Linked DNA regions of Nothobranchius furzeri. The protein of the gene in region 2 binds, or shares a complex with, the protein of the main gene of each other region. Links are inferred from orthologs where the notes say so. Each region holds a gene or a part of one and is shown on either strand. Other genes may lie near its edges. The genes, in order: polr2l and ercc3.

Region 1 (9,941 bases), about 22 Mb from region 2:
GAAATGTAACTATAAAAGAAACATGCTTAAGCCACCAGAAATAAATATTAAACATTATTGGTTAATTTGTGTATCTGTAAATATTCGCACAACTCCCAAATAAATTAACTTAATGTGAATTTAAGCCTAGGACCCAAAAAGTGGATTGTTGTTCTCTACCGGGGAATTACTTCCTACGCACTGAGTGAAAAAACAAGGAGCGTTAGCTTATCAGGTAGCCAACATGCGAGATAAATAGTTTGGTTATGTGTTAATTTATCGGTAAAGACTACTGCCTAATTGAATTAGTAGTTCGTTAAATTTATTGTTTTTTTGGTGTTTTGTTTTAGCTAAAGATTTAGCTTTTTTTTTAGTAGTTGCGGACCTGAGCGAAGCGAGGACGGTTAGCGTGAAAACTGACGTTAACGTATATAATTTTAGAAAAATCGGGGCAGTGTTTGTTGTGCATCATAAATGTGCACAGTGCTGTTGTGCAAACTGAACAGGTAAAATAAGCGAAGCAACTAAAACGCTTCCGTGCCTGCAGTTGGCATCTGAGGCCCACACGATGGCTGCTGCACAACCTGCAGCCGAACCGAGTTCCTCCAAAAACGACATCGATATATACAGCGACTTGCATGCGAACGATGAGGTGAGCCTAACGGGAAAGCTTATTTAATCTGTATCAAATGTTAAAGTTAATCGTTGTACATTTTAAGTTCATTGCTTACAATTTTATGTGAGTTGTATTATGCAAAAAATTAAGATAATTTTAAAATCAAAATCAGAGATGTAATAAAATAAGTGGAAAATATAAATTAAAAGCGTTTCTTGTTCAAAAATGTCAACATTATTGTTAATTTTTTCTCACCCAGGATTTGGAAGCAAACGACCTTTTTGATGCTGTTCTTACTGGAACGGTTGATCAAGACAAAAAGACGATCACTAAGGAAGCTTCGGCTAAAAAAGAGGATAAACCAAAAGATGGGAATGCACATAAAGGAAGAGACTCTTCAGTGAGACTCTCTTTATACATTGGGAATTTCTCTTGGGTAAGCAGTACAACCCAGTTAGTGTTATTGTAGGAAATCTGCAAAAGCTGTTTTTTTCTTTTGTTATATATATATCATCTCCACATACATAATTATGTTGCAGTGCCTCTTGAGTTGCCTTTTACTGTAATTATTTCTTGTCAAACTTTGTCTTTTTATCCATAGACATGTTCCCTCCCCTAAAATATGCTTCTACTTACAGTGGACATCTGATGAAGACCTTTTAAATATAGCCAAAAGACTGGGTGTAAAGGACGTCGAAGAGATCAAATTTGCTGAAAACAAAGTTAACGGCCTGTCAAGGGGGTAAATATATTTAAAAATACCACTAAATACTTTTGCTTTGGATTCATAATTATGTATTCCACATCTCTTTGTGTTCCAGCTATGCAGAAGTGGTGGTGTTGTCTGAAAATTCCTTTAAAATATTATTGGAAAAAATACCACAATGCCATATCAATGGGGAGAAATTAGTGTGCCGTTATGCCACTCTCCAGAATCTTTCTGTATTTGAGGATATCGCAAATAAACGTAAGATATGGCTATAATTCATTATATCACAAAATTTATTGACTGACTTTCTTTAAAAAAAACCTTTTTACTCATTCACAGGTATGCCCGTACAAGCTAGTTCCGATTCTAAAGAATCTATTTCCACACAAAAGACTTCCACACCAGTATCATCACAGCAGCCCAGGAACCCTCCTGGACCTCCACCTTTCCCACCACCTTCATTTCCACCTAGTTTTCCTCCATCGCCCAGTCCTTTCCTCCTTCAGCCACCCCCTCTGTTCCCAAACATGCCACCTGTAATGTCGCCACTCATTCCACCTCCTTTGTTCTCGCTGCATCCTGCTCAGACAACTGGCCAACCACCTTCTGGTTTTCACATGAGTCCTCCTTTCTTCAGCCAGACACAGGAAAGACCGAGCAGACCGTTATACAGCCAACCAGCGTAAGAGCACGTTTTGTGTTATCAACGCCATACGATCTAGGACTCTGGAAGGTGCCGTATGAAATACAGGCCATTTACTGTAAGAAATAAAAAAAAAGACTTCTTCACAGTGCGATTGTCCAAAAGCCTATGGAATGTTGTTGGAAAAAGGAGAAAAATAAAGTTGTTGCTTGCTATTACCCTAGTGAACTAGACCAAATTCTTGCTTTGCAAAGTTTGAATAGTTAAAAGTTAAATAATGTATTTATTTAGTCTGGCTTGCCGGGCTTGTTTGCTAACATTATTCTGTTTTTGGTCCAGAAAACTCTCTCAAAGCAAAGACGATTTTGAAGAACTAATGAGCAGAAACCAGACCATTGCCAGCAGTGCAATCACCAAGGCCATATCTGGGGCAACAGCTGGTGAGTACAAATGATCAGGTGCTGTAATTAAAGTACCCAGAACCTCATAAACCACACGGGGAAAGGATTATTCCTTACAGTTTTGGTTTCCCCAATACCTGTGTCGTCACGGAGAAGGCATCTTGTAGGATGTCGAAACTTTCAGGTAAAAAAAAAAACCTTTTCATCTAAGATACTTGCCCAAGAAGAAACAGATATTTTATTAGTTTTACCAATGTGTAATGAATTTCATACTAATTTAAAAAATGTACTTTTTGTTTTACATTTTTAAATAATTTACGATTGTTTTATTGGCGGCTAGTGATTTAAATTTTAAGAGTTCTGTTGTAATTAAAAGCAAAAACATCCCAGTAAGCATACTTTCATATTGTGCAATTGCAATCAAATATAAGAAGGTAAAAAAAAAAAATTGTACATTTGTACTTTAAGATGGACCTCTAAAAAGTTCTTAAGGGTCAACTTTATTCATGTTTTTTAATACATTTGCAGTGGTTTCTAGTAGGAATGAATGCCTTGTAGTTCGTACTCTGGGGGACAAGAAGCTCCGGTGCGCCTGTTTGAGGACGTAGATGCCAGCTGGAGGAGAACGTAGCTTCAGACGGCAGGATTTAGAGTTTTATTTCCTGATATTTGGATATCTTGCCTTGGATTGGCTAACTGCAACATGACTCTACCACTGACTACATTTGCTTTGCAACGTTGATTTATCTCCACAAATGACACAAGTCTGAAGGAGTTCTGCTGTTGTGGAGTTGCTAATGCTAATCATTAGCATCTACTAGTCGAGACGTTCACTGCCGTTTCCTGGACGGTAAACCAACAACAGATTTCCCCGTCGCGAGTCAAGATGGGTGAGTCCATGAATGTTAAGTGACAGTGTGACTAGATCTGTCAGGCTTTTCTGAACCGAGTGTGTTTCCGTCTAGTGTCTATCAAAAGCTAATGAAGGAAATAGGGGTAGAAGACTGTTTTCATGGTTAAACTCAGTCATTGATCATTTTCAAAAATAAGTTAAAAAAATTTGTTTCCCACTGAACCTGCTTTTTAAAAGACGATCTTATTTCCTGAATTTCTAATGCAGGAGAGCAGCAGATGGCCATGGAGACACTATTAACGGCGATTGCCATCATAAAGCAGTCTAAAGTGCACGGGGATGAACGCTGCCGAGCTTTGGTCACCTCACTCAAAGACTGTTTAGTCTCGATCCAAAGCAACTGTGAAACCAGGTTTGTATATTTAGGAAACTTGGTTTGAGTGCTTGTCTTTCTTAGAGGGTTAAGCTTTTTTCTAATTAAAGATTTTCTTTTTAGCAGGCGTTCAAGAGAGAAAGACAGAGACCGGGACAGAGGTCGTGAAAGAGACCACGACCGCGACAGAGATCGTGACAGAGAGCGATACCGAGATCGTGACCGAAGTGACTCTTACAGCAGGGAAGGTGCGGGAACGTCTCGAAGACATAGAGAACATTCCTGGAGTGGAGACAGGGACAAAGAGCGCTTACGAGAGCGAGAAAGACATCGAGATTACAAAGACCGATACTACTAACCTGGTAAGATAAACAGACTTAACTACAAAAGTTATATATGCTAAAAATTACATTGAGTCAGGGGAGCATTTCTTCCTTTATAAACATTTTAAATGAGCAGTTATTTGTATTCTAATCTTCACTGTAGGTCAGACACAATATCAGGATAATATACAGCTCTTTAACGTCTGAATTTAATATGAATGCATTAACTGAAATCACGAAAGATTGGCATCCCTTTATTTTTTTTACTCTGACTTTGTTCTGGTTTTGTTCCCTTTTCTCCCCAGACTGAAGAATCCTGCCGGGGAAAGATGAGCATTTTCTTGCACCAAGGTTGATAAATGTCAAAACTCTTTGAAGCTGAGACATTGGATGTTTGAAAGTATGAAACCTACTTTTTATCAGTTATATTCACCATGTCTGATTTGTTTTAAGAAAAAGTTGTGTAGATTCATTCTTGTATTATAGAATTTCAACATGCATGTAGTGAACACCTGTTAATAACTTGTTTTCATTCTTTTTTTTGTATAAATTCTACAAATAAAAAAAAATCCTCCAGTGTTTTGTTATAACTAACTACACAAAGCTGTAAAATTATGTCACATTGACAGGAAATAGACATTTAATCATTCATCAATTTTTCCAATCTCATGAAATGAACTATGCGATTAAAACCATTAATTTCCAAAGCTAAGATCTGAAGAGCTAGTCGTTGCCAACCACATAAAATGTAGACGCATGGACGAAAGAAAGCAAGGTTATTCATTTTATTTTAAAAAATCCAGTAATTGAAAAATGTTTCCATAAATTCTTCTCTGTGGTCGTAATTTAAGGTTACATAGTACACACATTCACCCTGATAATGGTGCTACAAAGTCCACAACATTCATTTTTCCAACGGAGCATAATTCAGCAATTTCTCAATAAGATCCACATGAGAAAGAAGCATCCTTCGACAGCAGTACCTCTTCAAGCCAAGAGCGTCAAGAGCATCACTAGGGAGGGAGATGGCAAAAATCAGTCCTGATATGTTACATAAACACGTTTTAATCACTGCTGAAAACCATAAGGAAAGGTGAAAGGCATTGTGGTTTAAAAACAAATCTAAACCCAATCTTCTTTTTAAATGTTATTTAGCTTGCCTGCATTGTGACCAAATGTTGAAATGTTCTACCTTTGTAGAAAAGCTACTCAAACACGTGCCAGAACAATTTCGGACGTAAAAAGATCATGAAACGTGAAGCTAGACGTGGTTGTTTCTCACCCCTCTGTGTATTCCGCTTGCAACAGACCGAGGTACGCTTCCCATTTGTTCCCCACAATCTTCCCACAAGTGAAGCACCTCACAGGGATTATCATCGTTAAATACCTGCAACAAAAGTCAACCCGGTTAATGTTTGAAAACAATGTAAAACAATCACAGTTGAGTCGTTTAACTTAAATTACATTTACGTTTCCGCATACCACCGCAGTAAGACCACCATGTGAGCATGTTTTGCTAACGTTAATGCAGCAAAACCTAGCACTGCAACGATTAAAGCAAACACGTATTTAGTTTTTTTTTTCAGATGGATTAATCAATAGTCCAAAAACGAATTACTTAAAAAAGACGGTTGAAATCAAATCTTATGGTTAGTGCTGTATTCCGCTACGTAACTAGCCCACCAGCTAGCGTTAGCTGCTGTTGAAATTATTCCGCTAAACGAACTTACACACGTCATTAGTTTATCACGTTTTACCATATGTTTCACCTTTTGAGGCTGTAGATCAGATGAATGTACTATTTTCTTGGTAAAAGTAACTCCAGCACGATAATGATGGCGTTCTCTCACTCCTTATGTCGTTAAAACAACTTCCGGGTAAAATCCGCCAAAATAAAAGCGGAATAAGAGGTGAGCGTTTCCTGTGATTTGCAAAATTGACCCCCCCCCCCCCCCAAAAAAAAAAAAACGAAAATGGGGAAACTGACACGGAAAACGTGTGAGCGTCTTCGTCTATTTGGTTTTAATAAATGTGGTGCAAAAGTGAAATAACAATTCATTAGAATCACAATATTGCTACTGAATAATGACCACAGCTCACTTCATAAACGAGCGTATAAAAATGGCAGTACTCCCCATCAAACTTAGCTAACATGTCAAGTCACTCACCTCACAATGTATTTTTCCTTTTACAAAACAAACAACTTTGAAGCAAAAGTATTAATATCCATGTAACCACAGATAAAGGAGTTTAAAAACTCTAACATTTTCCTTGATATAACTAATAAATGCAATTGCAATTCAATATACCATCTTGACAGAATGTTAAGGAAAAGAGCTAAATTAGTTGATTAAAACTAATGTTTTTGAAGGTGGTACCATGCAAAAATAAAATCTTCATCCAATGCAGATAGTTACACAAATTAATATTAACATGAATCCACAAAAGAAATGCTCACTATAGGACTGGTTCACTGCCTTTAATAAGATTGAATTTCAGATTTGTCATATTTTACATTTAAATGATTGGACTCATAGAGGAGGGTGCATAAAGAAAATATTTAAAATATAAAACATACATATTATTTCCACCATAGTCATCTTTACAGTCAGCATGATAAATGTCATTATCATTACCATCAGTAACATTATACAGTAATACATCATCTATGTAATTTCATTTGCTACAGCACATATGCTAAATGAGGAATCCTACCTGAATTATTGCATTTATACGCTGTTGAAATTATGAAAATAGGAGTTTTCATATTCTTTTGTTTTTTAAGAGTACACTGTATTGTACAATGTAAGGTGAAATTTATTTTTGTGTTGACTTACTACTTTTTGAACATGTCAGAGGAGCTGTCTAGTGATGGTGATATGCTCTTATGAGTTTTTTAGGGGGTATAAAATATGGTGAAGCTATACATTCTGGTTGTCAAAACTACCTTTCTACCAAACAGAGACAACCGGATGAGTTTTACAGTTGCAAGCTGAAAGGCTAGTGAGCCACTGTACAGGTGTGTTTGTGCAGTAACAAATTCTTTTCCCCCTTTCAGTGAAGTATGAGTACTACTTTTATGCTATTATAAATGCTTTCATTACATATTTTTGGTGGGTGACTTTGAAAACACACAGAGTGGCATAAAAATTGACTCAATTCTAGTGGCTGACTGGCTGTGGGCTTTCAAACCCATATAGAGGTTAGAATAAACACGCAAACCAACTTCTTCTTTTGTCCCAGAACGTGTCATATTTCAGTGTTTAATAATGTTTTGGTTTATTTTAAACCCAATGAGTTTGTCTTTGTTACTCTTCACCAGAGGTCTGCAACCTTTACTATCCAAAGAGCTGTTTCCCACACTGTTACAGGGCTTTCAGAAAACAGACAATGAATTTTTGAGAAATGTCTAAAAATTAATCAGAATTCTGAGGTTGAAATCATGATTCTGACTTTTTTGTTTTTAGATTATAGTCACAACTCTTGTTTTATCTTCTATCAGTATCTTCTCTATGGGATTTGATTAAGTTTTTAAATTAGGAAAAATGAAATAAAACTTTTGCAAAAACTGTATGAATATCATTCTGTATATCAGGAAAGTTATAAAAATAGTGTAATTCTGTTGAGGAAATTGAATGCAATTGATTCTGTGAAAATACAGAACAGTAGCTTGAATCTGCATTATTATATTAATATATATTTTTTTAAATTAGTATTTTACCATTTTTAGAATACATTATTAAGAGCAATTGTGGAAGCTCCAAAGAGCCGTACTTGGCTCCAGAGCTGTAGATTGCAGACCCCTGCTCAATACAAAGGTTTACCATATTTTTTTGCCACCAACGTACAATGTAGATGTAACGAGTGACACCACAGAATCAACCCAGGAACACTGATTTATTCCTGAGTGACAGAACTGAATAAAAAGGTTTTTCTTTCCAGAATGACAAATGTCAGTTTGACACACTTGGAAAATGATGGAAAGTTGAGGAAATCTGCAAATTCTTGCCACAAATAGGCTCTAGTCCACATTATTAGTAGTGGCCTTGTTGATTACTGGGCCAGTATTAGCCCTGTGAAGGTCAGCTGTTGCCTGTACCCATGCTCATACTTATTCTCAATATATCTAATTCCACCTGTGCAGGTGTTTCTTTTAACAAAAGATCCATAATCCTTTGCTATGCATAAACGTGACTGTTCGTTCACCAACTCTTTCAAATATTCTATTTTAAAGTAAGAGAACTGTGATTGCTCAAAAACATCATGAACACAGTGGATATATAATTTTGAAATATTTACACAAAATTAACCAAGCTCATTCACTGTGTCGGAATGCACAAATATTGCAACCTCAGGTCAATATTTGCTCACGCTGGATTAAACTAAATAAAGCAGACAGTTGTGTTTAAAAGGTTTAGGCATCAAGCTGAGGAATAAGTCTTTTTATAATATTTTTAATTAATTTTACATTATGCTGTGCTGTTGAGACTTCATGCATGTATTATTAGTGTAATTATTCTCCATATACAGCCTTGGTAAAAACTTAAATGGGGTGATTCTCTACACGTGAGATCAGGTCAAAAACAAACAATAAATAAATAAAATATTGTCTTTCCAATCTCTTATCCAAACCATATAGTCAGCCGTTCTTCTAATTTGGTTTTAATTTCTCCTCGCCAGGAGCAACGCTCCCAGCAAGATGGCTCCTGCAGCAATAACAGCGCCACCGATGAGAAAAGGCTTCAGGTGCTCCAGAGAGTCTGTGCCAGAGGCCGCAGCGTCCTCACTTCCTGCTGCTGCTGCTGATTCAGCTGCTGTTCCTCCATCGTTGGAGGAGGGGGGGTTCTCAGGCTCAGGGGCTGCAGGGGCAGGGTCAGCCTTGCATGGTGCTGCTGGCTCCTTCTTCTCTGCTTTGGATGTTGCCTTGGGTGCTGAAGCCCCAGACTTGGCCTTAGCTTCCATGGACTCAGAGACACAGGTGCGGCGTGGTCAGGAGTTGTTATAAGGTCAGCTGCGTGCTGCTTCACTGAGGTGAAAAATAAATAAAAGCACAGAAGTAGACAGATTACCCTTCTAAATTAGACGCAGTCGTCATGTTATCTGCTCTGATGATTATAGACAGACTGAAACATGAATGAGGCCCTGATATCCATCTGTTTGCTCAGCCTTGAATCAGTGAAGCCATAAATGTGACCTTGGGAAAAGACGACATTGATGGGAGCTCTCCAAATGCTCACAGGGACATGAAAATATTTATTTTGGTCACAGCTGCTCTGACTTAACTGCTAGATGAAGTAGGATTTACATTTAAAGCAGCTTCCTGTGCTAAGCTATTTTATAGGACAATTGGGTAATTTAGTAATGGATGCTAGAGCTTCAATGCAAAAGAGATTTGAATCTCTATTTCTTTGACCTCGGGAAGAGCCTGGTCCAGATGCAAATACATAAAGATCTAATCTTGATGTTAAACTTAAGCGCATGCACCCACCATTAATATATCTCAATAATTAAATGTGCAAGAAATGGGCCGCAAGATGGAGGAGAGAGCAAGAGTGTGATGGATGAAATAAGCAAGAAAACAAATGAGGCTTAATTTAGTAGAGTGGATTTGTCCCAGTAGCCTGAATGTTACAAAATGTAGCCTGGATGCATTATTTACACAAATATATTATTTTAAATCATTCTCTAAACTAGGATGAAACATATGAACATTATTTACCTTTTCAACACCTATGCATAGATGAGAAGAATAACAGACGTGTAAAGGAGGCAGAGCTGTCTCTGGAAGTTGGAAATGTCCTCAGTATTAGAAAATGAGAGACAGCGGAGAGATGGAGGACGCTGAAAATAGGAGGGAGGGGAAGGAGAGCATGAGGAAGGGAGGCTGGGATGTACCATCTGGAACTTAAAATGGGGTACTATGTTCCATGATGGGTTTTTTTCTACAGCTTTAGGCAGCATTGATTCAGTGAGACAAAATCCACATTTCAGTTAGATTGTCTTTTATAAAACATACATATCTTTTATTTTATTTTTTAATTATT
Region 2 (10,953 bases):
TTTGCTCTTAAGACTCTTCCGAGTCGCTGGGCCTCCTGTCGGCGTGATCCACCGTGGGAAGAAATCTGTATCAGAACGTTGGCTTCTGGCAAGTCAAAAGAAGTGTCTCCAACCTGGTAACACATTCTGTTATTCAGCATTACTATTAAATTACTGTGACAAATTGTTTTAGATCAAATCAAATATGTCTGAAGCAAATGTTAAAAAAAAAATTATTTGCACCAGGATTATCCCTTTGGTAACTTGAGTGTCTAATTTTGAGAAATTATTTAAGTCAAGTTAAGTTTGTGAGATTAGCATGTTATTTGTAACTCAGTTGTCCTAGTAGGTTCAGATGAGGGCATAGATGACAAATCTTGGGACAGCTTCTTGCAAAACATCTTCATAAATAAAGATGTCCAGTTGTCTTCTCCTGAACTTACCATGCCCTGGATGAGAACATTCACCAGCAACTTCCAGCTAACAAAAATAACTCTGACATCCTCAGCAATTTATGCATAAGGTCTCTAAATTTATATTTAACAGAACCAGACTGACCAGCTGGATGGTAAAAAATAAATGAATAAAAATACACAATGCAGCAAAAAGCTGAATAAAGCTGGTGTCTCCACCAGAGGTACAAAGTAATAGTTACTGTAATTGAGTAGCTTTTTTGTTTATTTGTACTTTTCAGTCATTTTAAAAGTCTGTACTTTTACTTGAGTATGTTTTTATTTTATTTTTTAGTACTTCATTACTACGTTACATCATACCCGTTACAGAGTCAAAAAGGCTTAATAATAAATTTAAGATCTTGTGCTTTGCAGTGTTGGAACAGGAAGAGACACCTGCATGAGCAAAGCGTCTCACCTGTGGGGGGTGTGGGTGTACACTTTTTATAATGAGGGCATTAAACAGCCACACTTTTGCTGCAGTTTTGCTCAAAAACATCAGTTTAAACCCTGTGATGCACTCGCTGTTCCCCCCTCTCCCTCCCTCTCCTGTTGGTTGAAACCCACACCTCCATGCACTGATGTTACGGCAGTATACTGCTCGGTTTGGTAGCCAGACGAGGTTCCGCCTTTGAAATGTATTCCTCAAACTGTTCCGCACGGCAGCGGCAAAAGAATATTCAGCTCATTACCTTAGTTTAATTAGTAATTCAAACATTCAAACGATTCTAAAATAATGCAGTGTGTCCTGTGCGTGCGTGCGTGTGTGTGCCTGCATGCAAGCGAGTTGTGCGCTAGTGTTATGATTTTGCACTTAGGTCCTTATTCTGACAAAAAAGTAACCTTTACTTTGCGTACATTTTAATTACAATACTTTTTACTATTGGTTGAGTACAAATTTTGGCTAATACTGTTACTTGTACTAAAGAATTATCAAAGTGTTGGAACTCGTACTTAAGTAGGAAATTTTAGTAATTTCCACCTCTGGTCTCCACTTCCTTTGAAAACATTAAAAAAAACACACACATTAAACAACAACACAGAAGTCTGTTAGTTTTACTCTGCTGCTTGACTGATTTTCACATGTAGCCACAAATGTAAAGACCTACATTTTTACCCGTGTTATTTTAGAATGTTTTGTTATTTTGTGCAAAAACATCTGATTTCATGAAAACGTTGTGATCTGCTACAAAAGCAAGTTAGCATGCTTTATGTTTAATTTTTAATTTGACCTATCTGGCTTACCAAATGAAAATTGAAGGAGAATCCAGGATAACTCATAATTACAGCCCTGAAGTTGCAATCTAATCTTATAAAATAAAAATGTTAATAATAGAAATCAACTATTTCATTTCCAATTGTAGTTTTACTCTTTACCTTTACATTTAAAGAGAGGGAAAAATAAGTTATTTCTCTGAATTATTTCATAAAAATATGAAATTCTGATACTACAACAAAAAAAAAGAGTTGACTTGGTTTTTTTTTTACCAAAGAATTGATTTTTAAATGCAAATTACACAGAGAACAACTAACATTACTTAAGTAATTACTGGCCTTGTTAATTTTCTGAATAAATAAATCGTATTTAATATACATAATACATTTTCATCAACAGTATTGTTACTTTGGACAAATCTAAACCCAAGGTTACCTGCAAGTACGAACAAACATCAAAGCTTTAGTGCAGAACAAATCACTGTATAAGCATTAAGCACTAAATACATTAAAATCTATTTTGAAGGTGGGACAATTAGTGTAAATTAAATGATGGCTAGGCTTGTTAGGGTGTTAGAGAAGATGTTCCCGGACGAGATAAAGCTTCAAGAAAATTCTTAAGGATCAAAGGGCACCCCTCCTTCGCACTTGGAACGAAAAGTGCGAGTGTGTGTGTGCGAGAGACGGGTGAACACTTCACCTTGGAGATGAATATGGTGTTGATCTTTGGGTTGTGTTTGAAATTCTGCAAAATCTGCATACGCTCTCCCTGAGAGGTGGGGCCATAGATGTAAGGCCTTGCATAAAACAACAAAAGGTATCATTAAAAATTTCAGGAATACTTAATGCAACAATTTGAAAAACTTCTGTCGCTGAAAGCTCACTTGTTGAGCCGAACGGCGTACTCCTTCAAGGCAAACACGTTGTCGGCAAAGACGATGATCTTGTCGTTGCGCCGCTCGTGGAAGCGAATGAGGAACTGGCAAGCCCGGAACTTGTTGGGGTTCATTGTGTAAAGCAGAATGCGCTTTTTTGTTTTAATGGCCACATACTCTCTGTAAAACTCTGGAGACATGGGGCACCACACCTGAAACACACACACACACACACACACACACACACACACAGGGATCCACTTAATCAGCGCTGTACAAACTTTCAGAAGTAAAAACCAGATAATCAAAACTTAAGTATATCTACTAAACCCAACAGGACACACAGTAGCTGCTGTCAAAGCCTTAGTCTTGATTTTAAACAAGTTAATCCTTTCAGTGCTGCCGTATCTAGTCATCTATTCAAATATCAGTATAATCTCTTTGATCGTCCACTAGAGCCCTCGGATCTTTAGAGAATGCCCAAACAAAAGGACAGCTATATTTATTTTCTTGTATCTTGGTGAAACTTCACCTCTCATCTAAAATGATTCTCAAATAAAAATGATTCTTCAATCTTCAACTCTTACGATTGCTATGCCCTTGAACCTTGAGGTTTGGAAAAGTTTTAGCTTGTAAATATGGTTCAAAATAGACCCACATCCAAAGCATGTTGTCATATTAAAACAACTCCAAATTCCCGTAAACAATAGTTTTAAAACCTGTTAAAACATTTGCATTACACACACTTGTTTTAGCAGAATTGCCAAGAAATTTCCAGTCTAGGATGCAGCAGATATTTAAAGAACCTCTAATCATAATGATCTGAAAGTTTATTGAGGTGTTCTTGAATCTCATTTTGGTTTATCGGCTCACTGTTTAATTACTGCACATCAAAGCTCTGGTGACTAGCTTAATGTTTTAAAAGAATACCAGTTTTACTCCTAAAATCTTCCATTTATGTTCTAGTGTTACAGGACCTACCTCTGCACACTGAACTTTGGCAATATAACCATTGTTCTGCAGCTCCATCCAGTTGGCTTCATACAGCTTGGGCCCAATGAGGAAGTTGAGGTCCACAATCTTGTCATCTTCCCTGACCAGTGTGGCAGTAAGGCCCAGTTTGCAGTGGGCCTGGACAATGGTCAGAACACGTCGGAACATTTTTGCTGCAGACAAAAATAACATTATTAATTCACATTAAACACAAGGTCCACGTCCCATTGCATTCAAAATAAAAAAATAAACGGTTTTATTATCTGGATTTTGCCGAGAGCTCACCAGGGATGGTGTGCACCTCATCCAGGATCATAAGCCCCCACTCCTGGCCCCGCATCCACTCCATGACCTTTTCAGCCTCCCATGATCGCTTGGTGGTGTGACCCAGCATAGAGTAGGTGCTGATGGCCACCGAGCAGCCAATGGGCTTGTCCTTGGCGTCGGAGGTGAAGCGGCAGATCTGAGAGTCGTCGATGGTGGACCACATCTTGAACTGGGCCTTCCACTGCTCCACAGATACAGACGAGTTACCCAGCACCAGGCAGCGCTTACGCACGGTGCACGCCGCTGTCACGCCAACCAGAGACTTCCCAGCACCTTCAAATCAGAAACAAGAAATCAGTCATTTGTTTTCTTGCTGTTCTAACTTATAGTCTGCATTTTATCAATAAACGTTTTGTATTCTCCTGGCAGCTCTGGACTAGCTTTCCTACCACAGGGTAGCACAATGACTCCTGATCGGGCTCGCCCGTTTCCAAACATCTTGCGCAGACTCTTCTCCTGGTAGGGCCGCAGCACGGCAGTGGGCTTCAGGTCTATGTTGATGTCTGGGTTAACTGTGTCATTTCGGAAGTCATACTCCGCTAGGAGGGGGTACTCCAGCTGGATACAACGCTTCTGTAGCTCTTCAATCATCTCCTGCAGCAGATGAAGCACAGGGTGTTGATGGTCTTCCTATTATTTCTGTAAAAAAACAATAAATGTGGTACCTGTCGAACTTCAAAGGACACTGTCTGAGTCTCCTCCTCCTCCTCTTCATCCTTATCCATCTGTTCATAGTAGCTGAAGATGTCCTCAGGGACCTGCTGGTTTGAGGTCTGTCCATCAACAGGCTGCTGTGAGGTGGATGGGTCTCCTTTTTCTTGAACAAACTTAGAAATCTGGCCAAAAAAGAGAAATGTAATAGGAAAAATAAATATTTTACACTTTTTACGTAACGGGGGTTTAGTTTAAGAAAATGGGAGACGTTTCCCAAAAATCTACCAAATGTTTCATTTTATACACTAATTATTTCCTAAATACATCTCTAGAATAAAACATTCAACACAGTGACATTTTCATTCAGTTCTATTTTGAACTTCTGCAAACCCCTGTAAATTCAAATATCATCCATCCATTTTCTTTTGCGTATCCAGGGTCATGTCACGGAGGCAGCAGCCTAAGCAGGGAGGTTCAGACTTCCCTCTCCCCAGCCACTTGGGCCAGCTCCTCCAGGGGAATCCCATGGCATTCCCTGGCAAACTGAGAGACATAGTCCCTCAAGCATGTCCTGGGTCTTCCTTCAGGTCTCCTCCTAGTTGGACATGCCCGGAAAACCTCACCAGGGAGGCATCCAGGAGCTGGAGATCACGTTCTGATGAAGCCAACAGGACAACATCAACTGCAAAAAGCAGATATCTGATCCTTAGAACACCAAAATGGATTCCCTTATAACCTTGGCTACACCTACAAATCCTGTTCATAAAAGTTATGAGCAGAATCGCTGACAAAGGGCAGCCTTGGTGGTGCCCAACTCTCACCGGAAACGATCAAACTTATGGGCTATTCCCATCTGTATCGGGTCGGCCCGGGCCGGGTAGCCCCAGTTGGTCCCAGCCTGGCCCGGTTGATTTCAAACATCCTTGTCTTAAGCCCATGTGGGCTGATTCTACCCACCAATCAGAGGCTTGCTCTAATGGAAGGTGTGAATTTGCTGTCAGCAGTGGGTGTGTTGGCCCTGGTCGGCCTGAAGCAGACCCCCTCGAGAAGAGGGCTGAGAATGAGCCTTGGTTGGCCCGGAAAAATACCAGGCCACCCAGATATGTAAACAACCTACGCTACCCGGCCCGGGCCAACCCGGTACAGATGGGAATGGCCCATCTCTGTCTGCAATGTGGACCAAGCTCTGACACCAGTCATACAGGGACCTGACAGCCTGTATCACAAGGCCTGGTACCCATACTCCCAAAGTACCCCCCACAGGGCCCCCTGAGGGACAAAATCAAAAGCCTTCACCAAATTCACATTCACAAAGCACTGGTTTGGTAGACTGGTTGGGCGAATTCCTGCGCACCCTCCAGAACCTCCCTAAAGAACTGGTCCAGTGTTCCACGGCCAGGACAAAAACCACATTGCTTATCCTGAATCTGAGGTTCGACAATCCACCGGACCCTCCTTTCCAGAACCCCTGAAATAGACCTTACCAGGGAGGCTCATGAGTGTGATCACCCTGTAGTTGGAAAACGCCCTGCGGTCCCCCTTTTTAAACAGGGGGACCACCACCCCAGTCTGTGAATCCAGTGGAACTGCTCCCGAAGTCCACGAGATATTACAGAGCTGCGTCAACCAACAAATCCCCACAACATCCAGATCCTTAAGGAGTATGACATACTGCTGATTTGCTGTGGACAACTTCAGTAATAAGCTCAGGGTCTGCTCCATCTGCAGAGCGAAGACGACATTCACGGATCACGTTATCCTGCAGGAGACGCTGAATCACATCAGGGAAGGTGCTCTCTACAAAATACCTAGAAGAGGGAAAACACAAGTGAATAAAACCGCTGAAGAAATAAATGTTTTTGCAGAGAGAGACGAAAGACCTTTACCTATTGTGTTTGAGCACAAGCTTAACTTTCCCATAGCTCACAGTGCAAAGCTGAAAGAGGCAGAAAAATACAACAGATGAGCAAAAAAATAAACTGTTACTATAGGATCACATCCTGTCTATCTCTGACCTCAATGAACTTGATGATTCCATCAGGTACAGATGTTTTACTGAGCTTCTGCAGGTACTCTATAATATCAGTGGTCTGCAGCCCCACACTGACTGCTGCATATAAGGAGTATGCAGTCAGCTTGTACTCATGGATGTGGTTAGGCCTGCACACTGGCTCTGCAATAGCCACTAAGAAATCCTGGGCATACTTATATACTGGTGAGAACGCTTCCAGAAAGATGTGTCCATCTGGAGCCTGTAGAGAAGTGAGAACAAGATTTCACCTCTAAGAGATTACTGAGGTACAGCTGTGACTATAAGCAGCAATGACGCATCATACCACCCAGAGAGGACGGGAGTTGTGGTCATTCTTCAACTGCATCTGTGCGCGGTAGTCTTTGGCTCCATATTCATCCAGTTTTGTGCCAGATTCATCCACCTGCTTCCCTGCAGCAGCAGGTACAGCTTCCTGAGACTCCCCGACTGTCACCTCTTCATCGTCATCTTCCTCATAGTAGCGTCTTTTGAACTTCTTCTCTATAGCAGATCCACAAAACAATCATTAACATTACTAAAACATTTTAAAAATCAGTAGTTATGTTAAGATGCCATGGAATCAAAACTACATTTTGCTCAGACGTATTTGCGCTAGTATATTGCAGGTTAGCGTTCGGTGACTAGCTCCACGCAGATTAAAATGAAACGTTACCAACTTACCTCGATCTCCTTTATCTTTTTTACCCATTTTGAAAGGTTTACATGGGTAAAGTCTTAAAAATAGTCCCAAATGTATTTAGGTAAACACACAATACGTGTCTTTAAATGATATGAAGGAATAAACGATGTCTAGACTGTGCACTAAAGTGGAGCTCTGAATAACAAGCGTTTCCGTTCAAAAACTTTCAAAATAAAAGTTTTTATATTTCCGTTTTTGCCACAGAGACAGTGTACAGTTGATTATTACTTATATTTACGATAGTTTAATACAATTTACGAAGCTTTAAAACTACTTATTCAAAAATGTGTTTATTAAAATCTTAATTAAAAATAAATCACAATAGCAGGTGCATTTGTTTTGGCAGAACACTTTGAAGACTTCCGCTGCTGCTCTATTGTTTACTTCCTAGGTTAAAAGCCATAGAGTAAATACAGGTTTTGTTTAATATCCCCTGAAAATACGTAACGAAATTGTTAGCAAAGATGTCCTCTGATAAAATTATAGGACCTGCTTTGCCTCCGATATTTGGAAATGAGAGCTCTGAGGACGACGTTGACGAAAAAGATTGTAAGATACGTTTTGTTAGAAGCTAACGTGTTGTGGCAATTGATCTTTTCGGGTTGCTCTGTTCACTTTTAGCTAACAGTTTTATTTATGTCGCCGTCTAGTTGCTGGTCCTGCTTTACCTCCTGGGTATAAACGGGGTGAACAGTCTAGCTCCTCAGATGAAAGTGAACCAGAGGTGGCAGCTAAGCGAGCCAAGACTGGGAGAGCTGCAGAGTGAGTTCTGGTTCTGGTCTCATTTGTTAGTTAAAAGAAATAGAACGAACTTGACTAACATGTGTTTCTGAACAGGGATGATGATGGGTTCTTTGGACCAGCTCTGCCTCCAGGATATAAAAAGCAACATTCACCAGAAAGGTGAGCAGAAACATCAATATTCTCTAGTAACATAAATAGCACGTGTAAGGACACTTCCTGTTTAGGATAACAGTGTGACATTTGTTTGTGATGGTATTTTCTCAGGGCACCTGTGTTGGGGCCAGCTCTGCCTCCTGGGTTCTGCAGGACTGAATATGACAGTGATGATGATGATGAGGAAGAAATTGTTCCAGGACCTGCCCTTCCTCGGGGCTACTGTCCCGAACCCTCCAGCAGCGAGGGAGAGGAGGAGGACGTGATTGGACCCATGCCTGCTAAAGGACCGATTCAAGATTCTGTTGCTCATGATTTTGAGTGCAGGGCACGAAGGATGAAAGATAAGCTAACAAGAGTGGTAATTTTTCTCTAACATTTTTCTCCTCATAATAATTAAATTATAAAAGGGGGCTGTTTCTTCTTTGTGTCTTAATGTGTTCTTGTTTGTCCTCTGCGTAATTAGGATGTTCCAGAGGTGGTAACTAGAGAAACGTGGATGACAGAGCTCCCACCAGAACTGCAGCACATTGGTTTGGGTGCTCGTACTTTCAAGAAAAGGTCAGGTCCAGAGAACAAGGATCGCTCCATTTGGACGGATACACCAGCAGACAGAGAGCGCAAGGCTAGGGTACCTAAAAAAATCACCCACCGCTTACAGTGTTCAACATATTAGTTAATGTATATTATTCCTCAGTATCAATGTTTGTTTCTTTAATAGGAACGACTTGAAGGAAAAAAGACAAGTGAGACAAAGAAAGATAACGCACCACAAGTTACTCAGAAGGACTTGGAAATGGCAGAGAAAGTATCTAAATATAATGTAAGTCTGCACCTTATTAACCTGAAAGGTCCCCATCAAAGTCATGACTGAAGGTGCCTTCCTGTCTGGTTTCAGGAGTCTAAACGGGCAGAGTCCCTGATGAGTATGCATGCAAAGAAGATTAAGGAAAAGGCAAAGGAGAAAGCTGACAACCCAGTGGAAAGGAGGCCATTTGATCGTGATGAGGACTTGCAGGTTAATCGATTTGATGAGGCTCAAAAGCAGCGGCTGCTGAAGAAATCTCAGGAACTGAACACACGGTTCTCCCACAGCAAGGACCGAATGTTCTTGTAACCCCAAAGCATCCGAAAAATGCTGTCATTAGCAGGTTCACTGGTTTTACTTAAGTTAAAAAGTTTATACAACGTGGACTGGTTGTAAACTAGAATGGATTGAATACAAACATGTGAATTTCTTAGAATTTGTACATTTGTATAATGACTGTATTCTACAAGGTAGTTCATTTGTTTTTATTGGAATTCAAATTTTAGAAAGCTGTTCAAATCATTAAAATACTTATAAGCTTATGCTTCTGCCTGCACCCATTCTTAGCATTGTGTAAGTTGTGTGTTTGCTTGTAAAACTGCAAATGTTTCTTTGTTATACTATTATGTTGTACTATTGATTTTAATTTCTCATTAAACTTCTCATTAAAATACTTGCTAAGTTTTTGTAAACCGCATAATCTTTTTTGTTGTTGAGATTAGATTGGACATACATCTCCACCACACCAATATGGTGACAACTGTTCTGCTTACTGTCATTCATGTCATTTTTTTAAAGTGTGGTGATTTTGTCTTTTTTTTTTTTAAATTTTATTATTATTAGTTTGTCTTTTTATTTGCAGGATCACCTTCAAAATTTTTAACCTGACCTCTTGTCACCCTATCATCTACAACAGATTTTATAATGTTCCGAATGTAAGTTAAAACATTATTTGTCTTAAACCAGCCTGTCCATAAAAACATAACCATACTACTGAATACTATGTAGTAATGTAACCTCTAAGCTGTGATGAAGTGGTTAAAAATCATCTAAAAACTCACCTTTTCATCCAGGCGTTCCCTCCCTAAATGTTTCAGAATGATGGCTTTGTTCGGGTTCACACTTTCACTTTGTTTATACTCATGATTTAATTTTCTACTTTATCACTGCTATTGTTTTTCTGATGTTTTTATTGGTTAGAGGTATTTGCCCTGATCTTTATCATGTTGTACAGCGCTTTGTGATTTATATCTGTGAAAGGCGCTATATAAATAAACTTTTACTTACTTACTTACTGGAGGGCAGCAACTCTCCATCTTACATTATTTTCTAAATGCTGTTGGACTCCAGAGTGTTGTTTTATTTCTTGCCAGCAGAGGCCGCACATTGCCCGTTCTTACAAGGCAACAAAACAGTTTGGAAGAATTTAGAGAAATCCAGTTCCTTCTTCTCCTCTTTAATATCAATATTCCCAAGAGGACAAAAAGAGAGATTAGGATTTTTTAAAGCTTGGATAGGACAAGGAAGTTAAAATAGTTTCTTCTATGAATGGGATATATCCATCCAGTGAATTTCTTAGAATAAAGTTTAATTATGCAAATATATGACTGTGGAATGAATGTAGATGATCTCTGTGCCCTGTACTCTAATGCTTAGGCACTGAATGTATAAATGAGTATGTGTTAAAGTCAGTAATGTCATATATATATATACCGACCGAGTGTAGTTCTGGCTTTTTAGACACTGGAGGGCAGCAACTACTCTTATATTCTTTTCCAAATGCTGTTGGTGTTTGGAATCTAGCCTATAGTGAACTAGACCAACTTCTTGCCATGCAAATAATATATCCTACTTATTAACCCCAAACTGGCTAAAACTAGACTTTCTTTGACAGACTTATTGCATTATTTTTGCCTCTGCTGTTCAGAACCCGAATGATACCCCAATAAGTAAAATAAACATTAAAATTACAAAAACAGTACCAGCAAATTATAAACAAATTGCTATGAAATGTGCTGTCA

The links.
Region 1: ercc3 (region 2) and polr2l share a complex: the UniProt entries of both Homo sapiens proteins name them as parts of the TBP-based Pol II pre-initiation complex. The link is inferred for Nothobranchius furzeri from reciprocal best matches to the Homo sapiens genes ERCC3 and POLR2L.

What each region holds. Positions count from the first base shown.
Region 1 is NC_091749.1:62,788,114-62,798,054, reverse strand, and holds polr2l (DNA-directed RNA polymerases I, II, and III subunit RPABC5), read right to left. Parts: upstream 5,806-9,941; 5' UTR 5,667-5,805; intron 5,285-5,666; 5' UTR 5,275-5,284; coding exon 5,180-5,274; intron 4,911-5,179; coding exon 4,802-4,910; 3' UTR 4,669-4,801; downstream 1-4,668. Other genes in the region: cleavage and polyadenylation specificity factor subunit 7, read left to right, coding at 548-631, 855-1,031, 1,234-1,337, 1,417-1,562, 1,644-1,986, 2,287-2,387, 3,469-3,613, 3,698-3,932. UniProt on the Homo sapiens protein: DNA-dependent RNA polymerase catalyzes the transcription of DNA into RNA using the four ribonucleoside triphosphates as substrates.
Region 2 is NC_091749.1:40,317,001-40,327,953, forward strand, and holds the start of ercc3 (general transcription and DNA repair factor IIH helicase/translocase subunit XPB), read right to left. Parts: upstream 7,380-10,953; 5' UTR 7,237-7,379; coding exon 7,209-7,236; intron 7,029-7,208; coding exon 6,832-7,028; intron 6,748-6,831; coding exon 6,511-6,747; intron 6,432-6,510; coding exon 6,382-6,431; intron 6,304-6,381; coding exon 6,168-6,303; intron 4,678-6,167; coding exon 4,507-4,677; intron 4,436-4,506; coding exon 4,231-4,435; intron 4,115-4,230; coding exon 3,800-4,114; intron 3,688-3,799; coding exon 3,503-3,687; intron 2,734-3,502; coding exon 2,531-2,733; intron 2,444-2,530; coding exon 2,347-2,443; intron 114-2,346; coding exon 1-113. Other genes in the region: gpalpp1 (GPALPP motifs-containing protein 1), read left to right, coding at 7,692-7,776, 7,878-7,989, 8,065-8,130, 8,236-8,485, 8,591-8,755, 8,846-8,947, 9,023-9,241. UniProt on the Homo sapiens protein: ATP-dependent 3'-5' DNA helicase/translocase. Binds dsDNA rather than ssDNA, unzipping it in a translocase rather than classical helicase activity. Component of the general transcription and DNA repair factor IIH (TFIIH) core complex.